Linked DNA regions of Macaca fascicularis. The protein of the gene in region 1 interacts with the protein of each later gene in a pairwise test. Links are inferred from orthologs where the notes say so. Each region holds a gene or a part of one and is shown on either strand. Other genes may lie near its edges.

Region 1 (4,111 bases):
AAATAAAGTATGTTCTCTGTAGATCATGTCAAGGGTGACACCAATCCCATCCATATCTACTGGATGAAAGCAAGATGTGCTTTTCTCAAAATTTACACTAGGCAAAAAAAAAAAAAAAAAGGCAGTTTTATTTTAACCAGATGTGAACAAATCAAACCCAATATTTTCAAGTATTTTTAGTGCCACATGATGTCATCCAATTTTATATTTTCTACTGGGGGATAATGTGTATTTTTAAAATTGTGAAGCCACTTTCCATGTATGTACTTAAGTCTTACGATAAATTACAATAAACAAATTACAACAGCACAGGACATGATCTTGGCTGTTTATGTCAACAGCCAAGAAAGACATTTAGGTTTCAGTAGGAAATGGAATTAGACACATGTGAAATGTCTTCCGCTGGCATTCAAGGTAGTCCTCATTTCAGTGACGATGGTCCTGGTCCAAACAGGTCCAGGGCAAGCATTACTCTGCCTATGCCCTCCTAGTACAGCGCAGCCTGTGGACTCCACAAAGACTGAAGGCAGTCTTAGGCTAGTTATTCAGGAAACCCCAGCTTTAAACAACCAGAGCCTTCCTTTTTTGTTGTAACAAGATCACACATCCCCATTGCTACTACCCAGATAGTGCCGGGTGTCCCAGGATCTTGGCACTGCTCTTGTCCTCTGGAACTGGCAAGGGAATGAAGATGCCTCTAAACTGACCAAGACTTACTTCCTCACGCTTTTCTCTGGGGCAGCATCAGGCAAGCAGTCATACCCTGGAACAAGAGTGTGGTCCTCAATGGCTTTGCTGAGTGAACTTCTCCGAGTCATCTCGCCTGGGAAAGAGATTTCTCAAAGATCATTTAAAGCTTTCCAGAGGGCAACAGCAAGACAGTCGTGAGCCAAGGTTACCATAAATGCTTCCACAACCCCTGATTTCATTTCGGAAATAAGGAAAGAAGTAGTCAGCACTGCAGGCGTTGCTGACTCCTCATCCAGCAGCCTCCCACCCCCAATCCCTCAACAATTAAGATACAATAAAAGTAAAGTTAATATTACTGTAGGGCCATTGGTACATTGAAACGTCGTTGAATTAAAAAGTCTTTATTTCAGCCCAAGATCTTCTCCATCCACCCACACTTGAGCACAGAACATTCCAGGCAGGCAAAGCCACCCGTGCCCTCCTCTCCTTGGCCACGTCCTCAGGGGTGGGCGAGCTTCGGGGAGAGGGGTGGGGGTGACGACTCCGTGCCAACGCAAAATACTCTGCCAAAAGGCTTCTCAGACACGAGTTTCCCAGGGCCATGCCCACCTTCCGTTCCCCGCCTTCCTGAGTCTCTTCTCCCGGTTTATGCTGGAACCCTGGAATGGTCTGGGGACCAATGAGATGGCAGCGGTTGACGCTTGGATCACGGTGAGGGGGCGATTTCCAGGGGGAGAGGCCGCGAAGCAAGGAAGGGGGGGCAGGAGGAGAAAAGTGGGAAGCGGGGACAAAAAGTAGGCGGGGAGGAGAGGAGAGCCCCAGTTGGGGAAAAGCAACGGCAGTCGAGGTAAAAAGAGCGAAAGGTAAAGAAAGAGCAGGTTCGTGAACAGGAGCCGGCGGGCAGGCCGGGGGATCCCGGGCGAGGAAGCGGCGAGGGAGGGGCGTGGGCCGGGCCGGGGGCCCAGCGGGGAGGGTCACTGTCAGTCAGGCTGAGCTGGGCTCGCTGGCCGGGGGGCGGCCGCAGGGGCGCAGCGCAGCCTGAGGGCGCGGCAGCCCCAGCAGCCTCGGCAGTGGCAGTGGTGGCCGCGCCCCCGTCCCCGGCCGGGCGCCCGCGCTGCGTTCCGCGTACCCCAGCGCCGGTTCCGGCCGGCGGCCGCCCAGGCTGCCCCCGCCCGCGCGCGCCCGTTGGGGGGCCCAGGGAGCTGCGCCCGCGGCCGGGCCGCATTGTGACGTAGCGGGGCCGCGGCAGCGCCTCCGCCGCTCGCCTGCTCCCGCCGAGGCTGTTCTGCTCCCGCCGCCGCAGTCCGTCCGTCGGTCTGTCAGTCCCTTCGCGCTCCTGAGCCGCCGGCGCGCGTGGCGCCCCGGGTGAGTCCAGGTCCCAAACGGACCCCGCGGGGAGGCGGGGGGCGAGGAGCTGGCGGCTCAGCCTTTCCAAGTTTGCACCAGGCGACCCTGGCGGGTGTCGCCCCGTGCTCCCCAAGCCCGGGGCCCCCTTTGTGCCGCGAGTCTCGGCTGCTTGGGACAGCAGAGGCGTCTCTGCAGAAAGGGTTTGGGGGGAGGTCTCTATAGTAACAGTGGTGGCGGCAGCGGCTGTTTTACTGGGGAAAGGGGGAAACAACCCCCGCCTCGGTTTCCAAAGGATTGTTCTTTTCATTTGCCTGCCTCATGTGGTTCTTATTCTTGCTGCCACCCGGGATCGTATCGCAGGCAGGGATGGGCAGTGCCGCGGCTCGGAAGAGCTGAGGTAAGGAGGGGCGAAGTAATAGTAATAGCGACGGTACTAACAACGGTAGCAATAGCTGTAGAAGAGGGACGTCTGGTGTTGCTGCCGCCCCTCGCTCATCAGCACGGGCTCCCCGACTGCCCTGTCCAGCCCGGGCTCCGTCAGCCTCCCTCTAATGCTGTCCTGCGTCCCAGGCTGGTCCGCGTCAATTTCAGCGGGGACTGTTTCTCTCTTGGCCTTCTCTCTTGGCGATGACTTTCATCTGCAGGTGGTAAGTAGGGTGAACCCAATTTTGGCTATTGTCAAAGGCCACATTTTGTTTATTTCATTTTTACGAAAAGAAAAGAGGGAAAATTATGAGCCATTACTGGCAGCCATACAGTTTCCACAGGAAATACTAGCATTCTTTGAGGAACACGCTACTGCTTGCAGCGAAGAAAGTCTTAGGAAACAAAAAGGCAACAGCATTGTTGCTCATTTTCAATGGACCTCTAGGAGGGGGGAAACGTGTTGTTTTTTCCTGTGGTAACGTTGCTTTCCTTGGGAAAGTTAATTAAGGAAGCATTACTGTCGGTGCCCCTTTTTCACTTGCTGGAGGCAGGGTCCGATTCCTCTTGGCTGTTACTGACAAGTGCCCATCAAAGAGCCCAGAGGAAGAGAGAACTGCTGCAGGACAGTCTCGCCACACACCACGTGCCGTGGAGCCTGGCCAGGGTGCAGTTTGCAAAATGAAATAAGGGCTGTCTGGGGAGGTTTATGAGGATTACATGTGTGCAAAGTATGTCAGTTCTCCAAGGTGTCACTCTAAACACGTAATTTTCAAGCACTACTTTCGTTGCTGAATCTGCAGGAAGGGAAAAACCTAGTTTTCTTTTATGGAGCAGACATCTCAATTGGGAATGGGTTGAAATCTGTATTTCATTTGTACATATTGAAAATTTAAAAGGCAAAGAACAAGGTGTAGGAAAGCAGTATGCTAATGTGTACACATCTGGGAGAGAAAGTCTGTTGGCTGTTTCTAATGCATCTCAATGTTAAATTACATTCAGCATGGTTAGAGTACAAGGAGACACCTTTAAGGAGTCCTCAAGACTATTTGAAAGGTGCTGTATTTTGGTACTGATCGCGGAAGTCTCTCTAGAAAGGGAGTATTAACTGAGGATTACCCATAACTAAATATGTATGCATTAACAGGTCTGGAATCAGAAAGTAGAAGATAGTGCTTCTCTTAAGAATCTTTTGGACATCTCAGTTAGAATAAAATACAGAATGGGATTTTGAAAAGAAGGGGTATAATTTTGAGTATAAATTTCATTTTCTCCATAGCAAGCGTTTCATGACGAAAGGTTACAGATAGTAGATTTGAAATGATGCTGCATTCATGAATTTGACTGTTACCATTTGTTGATATCCAAAAGGAAGTGACTAAAGCAAATGCATTTCTCTGTCTACTTTGTCACAACTTTGCTAATTCCAGACAGTTGTTCTGGTGCAGGTGTACAGTGGAAATGCAAGCCAAGAAACTGTGTGTGCTATTGTTTTGGAAGAAATTGTAGCAGTACTTTACTGCTCTTAAGGGAAACCCACACAAACATCTAATACAAACAAATGATCCTTGATATTATCAGAAAAAGCCTGGAGCTGTTTTTCTTGCCAGATGTAAGGCATGTCTTGTCAAAAGAGGAAATCTCCCAAGGA
Region 2 (3,958 bases), on another chromosome or scaffold:
CCGCCTCCCAGGTTCAAGTGATTCTCCTGCCTCAGCCTCCCCAATAGCTGAGATTACAGGCGGCTGCCATCATGCCCAGCTAACTTTTTGTATTTTTAGAGAGATGGGGTTTCACCATGTTGGCCAGGCTGGTCTTGAACTCCTGACCTCAAACGATCCTCCCACCTCAGCCTCCCAAAGCGCTGGAATTACAGGCGTGAGCCACTGCACCCAGCCATGTCTGCTCATATAGTAATTCTTTTTACGTGCACACCCTGCAATATTACTGTGCTACTCAAAAGCTAATTATGGGGCCAGGCTTGTTGGCTCACGCCTGTAACCCCCCCAGGACTTTGGGAGGTCGAGGCCAGTGGATCACTTGAGGTTAGGAGTTCAAGACCAGCCGGGCCAATATGGCGAAACCCCACCTCTGCTAAACACACAAAAACCAGGCGCAGTGGCGCGCGCCTGCAATCCCAGCTACTCCAGAGGCTGAGGCAGGAGAACCCCTTGAACCTGGGAAGCGAATGTTGCAGTGAGCCAAAGTCGCGCCACTGCACTCCAGCTTAGGCGACAAAGCAAAACTCTGTCTCAAAAAAAATAAATAAATAAAAGCTAATTATGGGACTTGTAAGAAAATATTAATTTATCATGCCCCAAGGACCAAAGTGCGCTGGAAGTTCAGCCGTAGCTGTCTTTGAGTGTGGTCAGCCGCCTGGGGGCCACGGAGACCCACGAAAAAGGGGGTCGTACGTGAATGCGAGGTCCAGGTCTTGCACCAGTCTGTTCATATCTCTTGAGCCTCAGTTTCCTTTCCTGCACTTCGAGCAGTTAACCCTCAGTGCCTAGCAGCCGGTTATTAATATGTTCACAACACCCTCCACCCAGGGCAGGGGTGGGAACGGCTGTTCTGCTTTTGAAAGAGAAAAACAACTTCCACAGTTCTTCCGGCCCCACATCCTCTGAACCGGGCTGGGCGCCTCCTCTGGGGCGTAACCAGTTGGACGCGCCCCCGACAGACCCCGCCCCCAGCCCGCCGCCAAGGCCCCGCCCCCCGGGCCGCGGCGCTTCACGTCCAGCGGGGGCGCTAGAGCGCGGGGGACCGGGCGGGGCGGGCCCGGGAGGCCCGGAGGCGGGGCCGCGGGCCGGGGGCGGACTGGGGCGGGCGGAAGGAGAGCCAGGCCGGAAGGAGGCTGCCGGAGGGCGGGAGGCAGGAGCGGGCCCGGAGCTGCTGGGCTGGAGCGGCGGCGCCGCCATGTCCGATAGCGAGAAGCTCAACCTTGACTCGATCATCGGGCGCCTGCTAGAAGGTTGGTCGCGGCGGGGGAGGCCTGCGTCCGCCGCTCCCGGGCCCCCTGCCGGGCCCGGAAGTGGCGCGCGGGCGGGCCCCCGGGGCCAGCTTAGACTGGGCGGGGACGGGCCGCGAGGTTCGGTGGCCGCAGCCGCCCCCCCGCGGACGCGCCTGAGAGGTCCTGGGCCCGCTCCGACGCGCGGAGCAGCCCCCTCTCCCGGGCCGGGGGCGCACGGGTTGCCTGGGTTCTTGAGGCGAGGGAGAAACCCGGGAAGCCCGGTCCAGGAAGGGGTCCTGCGCTGTGAGGTGTTTGGGTGGCAGCCCCCTGCGCACGACAGTCGCCTCCCGAGGCGCTGAGGGTAGTTGGGGGCTTCCCTTGGGAGGCTTGAGGCCGAGGTCCCGGGAGGCTCAGCAGCAACAGCTGCCTGCGGGCAAGGAGCAGCCGAGGAGGCCTAGGCGCCCCCGGAGGTATCCATGGGGCCACCCGTGTCGCCCACCCTCCTCCTGTCAGGGTCCCGGGTCTTGACACCCCATTGCGCCCCCAGTGCAGGGCTCGCGGCCTGGCAAGAATGTACAGCTGACAGAGAACGAGATCCGCGGCCTGTGCCTGAAATCCCGGGAGATTTTCCTGAGCCAGCCCATTCTTCTGGAGCTGGAGGCACCCCTCAAGATCTGCGGTGAGCCCCCCGACCCAGGTCCCCTTGCTTTCCTGAAAGTGGCACTGGCCCCCACAGAGTTCCTGGAGTCCTCCTCCCTTGAGCCCAGTCCTGGTCCTGGGTTCAGGTCTAGACCCTGCATCTAGCTTACCCGATTCCCTGGGTCACAGGTGATATACACGGCCAGTACTATGACCTTCTGCGACTATTTGAGTATGGCGGTTTCCCTCCGGAGAGCAACTACCTCTTTCTGGGGGACTATGTGGACAGGGGCAAGCAGTCCTTGGAGACCATCTGCCTGCTGCTGGCCTATAAGATCAAGTACCCCGAGAACTTCTTCCTGCTCCGTGGGAACCACGAGTGCGCCAGCATCAACCGCATCTACGGTTTCTACGATGAGTGTGAGTGGTCTGAGCGTCTGGGGCTGCCCGGGTCCTGAACCACACTCCTTGTCATTCAGTGGGACCTTCACATTGGCCTGATATCTGACAGACACTTGCTAAGACTGTGCACTCCACGAAGGCAGGGCCCAGGTCCGTTCTTGTGCCTGCCCTGCCCCTCCTGGCATGGGGTCTGGGGAATGGTTGCTGACTGAAGGACTGTCCGTATTCTAGTGCTTTCCCCCAGGGCCCTGCCTGGTGACGTTCCCTCTACATTTGCTACTAAGCATTTAGGATGTTTGCAGATGAGCTCTGCTGTCCAGAAGCTGAGATAAACCAGACCTGTACTTGGCCCGGCTCGTGGGCCGGGGCGTGCAAGGAGTGCCAACCCTGAGGCTGGTCCAGATTGGAACTCAGTTTCCAGTGGACTCGGGTGCTTTAGAATTACTTCTGGTGGGAGGCTGAGGCGGGAAGATCACTTGGACTCAGAAGCTCCAAGTTACAGTGAGCTATGATCTTGCCAATGCACTCCAGCCTGGGTGACTGAACAAGACCCTGTTTCTTTACTTTTTTGAGACGGAGTTTCGCTCTTGTTGCCCAGGCTGGAGTGCAGTGGTGTGATCTCAGTTCACCACAACCTCCATCTCCCGGGTTCAAGCGATTCTCCTGCCTCAGCCTCCCGAGTAGCTGGGATTACAGGCATGCGACACCACGCCTGGCTAATTTTTTTGTATTTTAGTAGAGACAGGGTTTCTCCATGTTGGTCAGGCTGGTCTTGAACTTCTGACCTCAGGTGATCTGCCTGCTTCAGCCTCCCAAAGTGCTGGGATTACAGGTGTGAGCCACCATGCCCTGCCCAGATCCTGTTTGTTTAAATTACAAATTAAAATAAAAAGTAACTAGAATTACTCCTGGAAGGCTGACAGGCGGCAGGGGTGGGGGTGGTTTGCATTGGTGCCTGACTCTCTCCCATCTGCGGCTGAATAGCCCAGAGACCCCGGCTAAGGGTGGAGCAGGCAGACCCCTCACAGCTACCTCCCTCTGGGCAGGCAAGAGACGCTACAACATCAAACTGTGGAAAACGTTCACTGACTGCTTCAACTGCCTGCCCATTGCGGCCATAGTGGACGAAAAGATCTTTTGCTGCCACGGAGGTGAGCTCTCCTTAGTTGTCATCTGGGAAGTCACTCCTTTCAGGAAGTGTCTCCCATACCCCCCTGTGCTGGGCTGCACTCACTTCCTTGATGTGCATTCTACATGGGGCGGGCTTGTCTCCTTTCTCCCAGGAGCTCTGTGCTCCGGAGGCCAGGGGCGCCTTTGTGCCTGTTTGGGAACTTGAAAAAGCTGAGGGGAAGGGGATGGCTTCTGCCTGCCTGGGCACCCAGGAGACCAGTGGAGGGACCAGGAGGGTGGTGGAAAAGTGAGGCTCACTGGCCAAGGCTTCCTGGAGGAAGGATGTCCTTGTTTGAGGAAGTGACCTTCCTTCTGGCCCTCCAGGCCTCTCCCCGGACCTGCAGTCCATGGAGCAGATTCGGCGGATCATGCGGCCCACAGACGTGCCTGACCAGGGCCTGCTGTGTGACCTGCTCTGGTCTGACCCTGACAAGGACGTGCAGGGCTGGGGCGAGAACGACCGTGGCGTCTCTTTTACT
Region 3 (4,262 bases), on another chromosome or scaffold:
GTTCAAGCCATTCTCCTGCATCAGCCTCCCTAGTCACTGGGATTACAGGTGTGCACTACCACGCCTACCCAGCTAATTTTCATATTTTTAGTAGAGATGGGATTTCGCCATGTTGGCCAGGCTGGTCTCAAATTCCTGACCTCAAGTGATCCACCACCTTGGTCTCTCAAAATGCTGGGATTACAGGTGTGAGCTTGTAAATTCTCTCATACTTTGGCTAGTTTCACATAAAACAAAAGGCCAATCATCCTGGTAGTTAAATATAAAGAAAAGCTTGCTTGAACTGTAAACTATCAATAATAAATATTTTCAGGTGGGCGTGGTAGCTCAGACCTGTAATCCCAGCACTTTGGGAGGCTGAGTTCAGGAGTTGAGATCAGGAGCTCGAGATCAGCCTGGCCAACATGGTGAAATCCCATCTCTACTAAAACAAACAAACAAACAAACAAAAAATGAACAATTAGCCGGGCGTGGTGGCAGGCACCTGTAAACCCAGCTACTCAGGAGGCTGAGGCAGGAGAATCGCTTGAATCCAGGAGGCAGAGGTTGTAGTGAGCCGAGATGGCACCACTGCACTCCAGCCTGGGCAACAGAGTGAGACTCCGTCTCAAAATAATAATAAATATATAAATATTTTCTATGTCAGAATTTTTTAAATTAAAAAGATTACAATACTAGAAAAATGTTGCATATTTTCTGATTAACAGCCTAACAGCACATCTACTATTCAAATCTAACACTGATTGGATCATTTTACAGCTGAGAAAACCAGGGCCCTGAGTTTGTGCCATGACTCAGGCAAAGACACAAAATCAGGCAGCATCAAATTGAGCGTAACTTCCACCCACAATACTGGACTCTGAACTTCTGTCGTGGAGTCCCTTGCTGCTTGCCTGTTTCAGGTATGTAACTTTTCTCTCCCAGAGAAGTACATGCCACGATGGAGCTGTCTACTTATCCCACACTAGCACAGCACTTCAAAGATGCATGTGAGGCAGCTGAGATGTGAGGCAGCTGGCAGGGGTAGCACAGCGCTTTAAGGTTTACCAAATCACACAAGCAATAAGTAAAGAAAATGTTATTAGTCCCTGAATGATGAAGACAATTCTAGAGAGTGGAAAAAATATGAGTTAATATTATTGAGATAAATTTCTTTTTTTCTATTGAGGGCCAGTATTCCACATCCCCCCAAACCCAATTCACGCAACTTTGAAATCAAGTTTGGTAGCTTGTGTATTTCATAAACAAATATTTGTTTAAAGAAAGTTCAAATCTATTTGATGTCAGTGCAGGGGACAAGAATTATGTTAATCAGGACAGAGAGGAGAAAAGAGAGGAAGGAATAACACAGCCAAGGAAGTTGATGTGTGCAACCTGGGTGGCCCATGGGAGAATCCTCCATTTTCAAGCACTGACAAACAGCTTATCACAGCAAAGCATATTAGTACTTAAAGCGTTAGCTTTTCAAACACCAATAACTTAAAAGACTACTTTACATACTACTCATGAATCTTCAGAAATTCTGAATAAAATATCACAGCAACCCTACTGTTTCCCCACTGGGGGACAGTAATTTCACAGGTTGGTTACTGGAGCCAAGCAATTTGAAAGGCTGATGCGGTACTCAAAGACGCCATCCACGGCCAGGTGCAGTGGCTCACGCCTGTAATCCCAGCACTTGGGAGGCCGAGGCCAGCGGATCACCTGAGGTCAGGAGTTCAAGACCAGCCTGCTCAACATGGTGAAACCCCGTCTCTACTAAAAAAATAAACAAATAAAAATTTTTAAAAAGATGCCATCCAAGCCACCACTTGACAGAAGGACAAAGGAGTATTACAAACCTAGTGCGTGTCAGACACTCCAGGGAGCAAACAACAGGTCCAGGGTCTACACCTAATAGGATTTAATGTTAAAAAAAATTAAACCACTATCTTGAAACTTAGGAAACTTCAGTTACAGACAACAGAGTAAGTGGTGACATATTTTAAGTTTAATAAGTCAGCTTTTAATTTTAACTGAAATGAGAACTGAAAAAGTTTCATGCATGCCATACAATGTTTCACATTGTAACCAAGAAAAGACGAAACTCATTAAAACCACTCCCTGCTCCAAACAGAAAGTGAAACGTTATAACGATCCTTTAAAAATTTCACTTTCACTTTTGTAATGAATCAATCAATGCTACCTTTAGCCACAGTTTTTCAACTATACATTATATACAGTTGAAGCACAACTATATCTAGTCAAGACACATTCATTTTTTCTTACGAAAATATGTAGGAAAATGAAAGATTCTTGATTAAAAATAAAAGGGAAGGAGGTGAGAGTAATAGAATCAGGTCGTCAAGGTTCGAGAAAATCAAGTGTCTCGTCATTAAATAGCAAAGAAAATCTGGCTTTGATTGCAAATAAATCCCAAATGGTATACTCGGAGTAAGTGTTACGATTCAAGTATAGCATTTGGCTAATTTTTTATAGATATATTTATTCCTTTCTCTCCCCAAATCAATACACTCAACATTTTCTTTTAAATACCCCACACCTGTGCCTAACTCAGCGCAAACCAAAGGGCCCCGAAGGGCCAGCGCGTCCCGAAGCCCGACCCGCCGCTCCCGGCCCCGGCCCAGCTTCACGCATGGCCGCTGACCCCAGCCCCGCGGCCGCTCCACCCCCGTCAGGAGAGGTGCCCAGTCGGACCGGGAACCGGGGCGCCGAGCAGCGCTGCTGAGACTGGGGTCGGGGACACTCGGCCGCCGGGTCCTCACCTGCGCCACGCCGCGCCCGCTGCGACCAACAGAGTGCCCGGATGCGCCGGCGGCCGCCGTTTGTTTTCATTCCGGGTGAGGCCAGCCCCGCCCCCGCCACCGCTGCTGCCGCCGCCGCCGCCGCCGCCGCCGCCGTAGCCGCCGCTTGGAAGGAGGGTTGTGGGCGGGGCCAAGGCGAAGCCAGTCGTGGGCGGGGATACGGTCGTGTGGGCGTGGTTACCGCGGGGCGGAGCCGCGACGGGGGAGCTAAATGGAGGCGGGGCTGGGCGAGAATGTGGCCGTGTGGGGCGAGGACCTGGGAGTTGGTGTCCGACGCCGCCCCAGGCTCAGGCTTCCAGGACCTCCCGCCCGGGCCCAGTTTGCCAGCCATCAAGAGGAAATGGATCCTGGCTTTGTTTCTCCAAAATCCTTGAAAGAGGCTGGGGGAAGGGTCGGGACCGTCCCAACCCACATCTCATCCCTCAGCCTAGGCTGGACCCCCTCCCTAAACCAGCGGCTTTTCACCCCGCCCTCCACAATCCCACGAGGGGCTTCCCTGGGGTGAAATTAGGCTGCTTCCCGGGAATTTCCTCCCCCATGCTGTCCACGGCCACTAGGGACTACAAAACCTAGGGAGCTCTGCCTGCTTTCAAGGCCCCATTCCCAAGGCTGTGCTCAACAGTGACGCTTCTATTTTATTATCAGTTATTGCTGTTAATCTCTTACTGTGCCTAACAAATTAAACTTTATCGCAGGTATGTATGCATGTATAGGAAAAATGCAGTGTGTGTGTGTATATATATATTTGTGTGTGTGTATATGTATATGTGTGTATATATATAGTGTGTGTGTGTATATATCTATACATGGGTGCAGTACTATCCGAGGTTTCAGGCATCTACTGTGGGTCTTGGGACATACCACCTGTGTGTGGGTAAGAGGGGACTGCTGTAACCTTGCAGTGACCAATCCGCTTTTCGTTCCCTGTTTCTGCTTTCTTTAGGCCTTTTCTACCTATAAAACCCACCTCCTCTGCCCAGCTCATTGGAGTACCGTTTCTAAATTTTTAGAGAAGATGCCATCCTGATTCGTGAATCAATAAAAGCCAATAGATCTTTAATCTAAATCTGTGGAAATTTTGACTTCTGACAAAGAGGTATTAAATAACTGTATAACCGCATCAGACCAATCTGATTCACCTTTTATATACCCAAGTTGTGAGTTGTTTTTCAGTTGCATGGACTCCCAGAAGGAAGGTTTCACACGTAAGCTGAGGATGCCCAGATGAGCCGAGCATGCAACCGGGGCGGAACCTGAGTGCTCAAATCAAAGCAGGGACTGAATTAAGAGATGGGCACTGCATGGTGAGATCCAGAATGCAATCAGATCAAGCCCTGGCATCACCCCATGGCAGGGTCCAGTCAGATGAGCATCCCAGCATCACCTCATCGCAAAATCTAATCAGATCATGTGTCATTACCGTATGCTTATAAAACCCAGCTCAAGGAGACAGAGTTG

The links. The genes of interacting proteins can lie anywhere in the genome.
Region 2: the proteins of SNCAIP (region 1) and PPP1CA interact in a two-hybrid assay, tested with the Homo sapiens proteins (2 studies listed by BioGRID and IntAct). The link is inferred for Macaca fascicularis from reciprocal best matches to the Homo sapiens genes SNCAIP and PPP1CA.
Region 3: the proteins of SNCAIP (region 1) and NUB1 interact in a two-hybrid assay, tested with the Homo sapiens proteins (2 studies listed by BioGRID). The link is inferred for Macaca fascicularis from reciprocal best matches to the Homo sapiens genes SNCAIP and NUB1.

The regions. Positions count from the first base shown.
Region 1 is NC_088380.1:128,907,391-128,911,501, forward strand, and holds the start of SNCAIP (synphilin-1), read left to right. Parts: upstream 1-1,311; 5' UTR 1,312-1,396; coding exon of another isoform or gene 1,397-2,344; exon of another isoform or gene 2,345-2,679; intron 2,680-4,111. Other genes in the region: uncharacterized protein, read right to left, coding at 1,397-2,344. UniProt on the Homo sapiens protein: Isoform 2 inhibits the ubiquitin ligase activity of SIAH1 and inhibits proteasomal degradation of target proteins. Isoform 2 inhibits autoubiquitination and proteasomal degradation of SIAH1, and thereby increases cellular levels of SIAH.
Region 2 is NC_088388.1:6,974,742-6,978,699, forward strand, and holds the start of PPP1CA (serine/threonine-protein phosphatase PP1-alpha catalytic subunit), read left to right. Parts: upstream 1-1,158; 5' UTR 1,159-1,234; coding exon 1,235-1,289; intron 1,290-1,815; coding exon 1,816-1,947; intron 1,948-2,096; coding exon 2,097-2,327; intron 2,328-3,355; coding exon 3,356-3,460; intron 3,461-3,803; coding exon 3,804-3,958. UniProt on the Homo sapiens protein: Protein phosphatase that associates with over 200 regulatory proteins to form highly specific holoenzymes which dephosphorylate hundreds of biological targets.
Region 3 is NC_088377.1:192,622,784-192,627,045, reverse strand, and holds the start of NUB1 (NEDD8 ultimate buster 1), read right to left. Parts: upstream 2,801-4,262; 5' UTR 2,543-2,800; intron 1,894-2,542; 5' UTR 1,842-1,893; intron 1-1,841. UniProt on the Homo sapiens protein: Specific down-regulator of the NEDD8 conjugation system. Recruits NEDD8, UBD, and their conjugates to the proteasome for degradation. Isoform 1 promotes the degradation of NEDD8 more efficiently than isoform 2.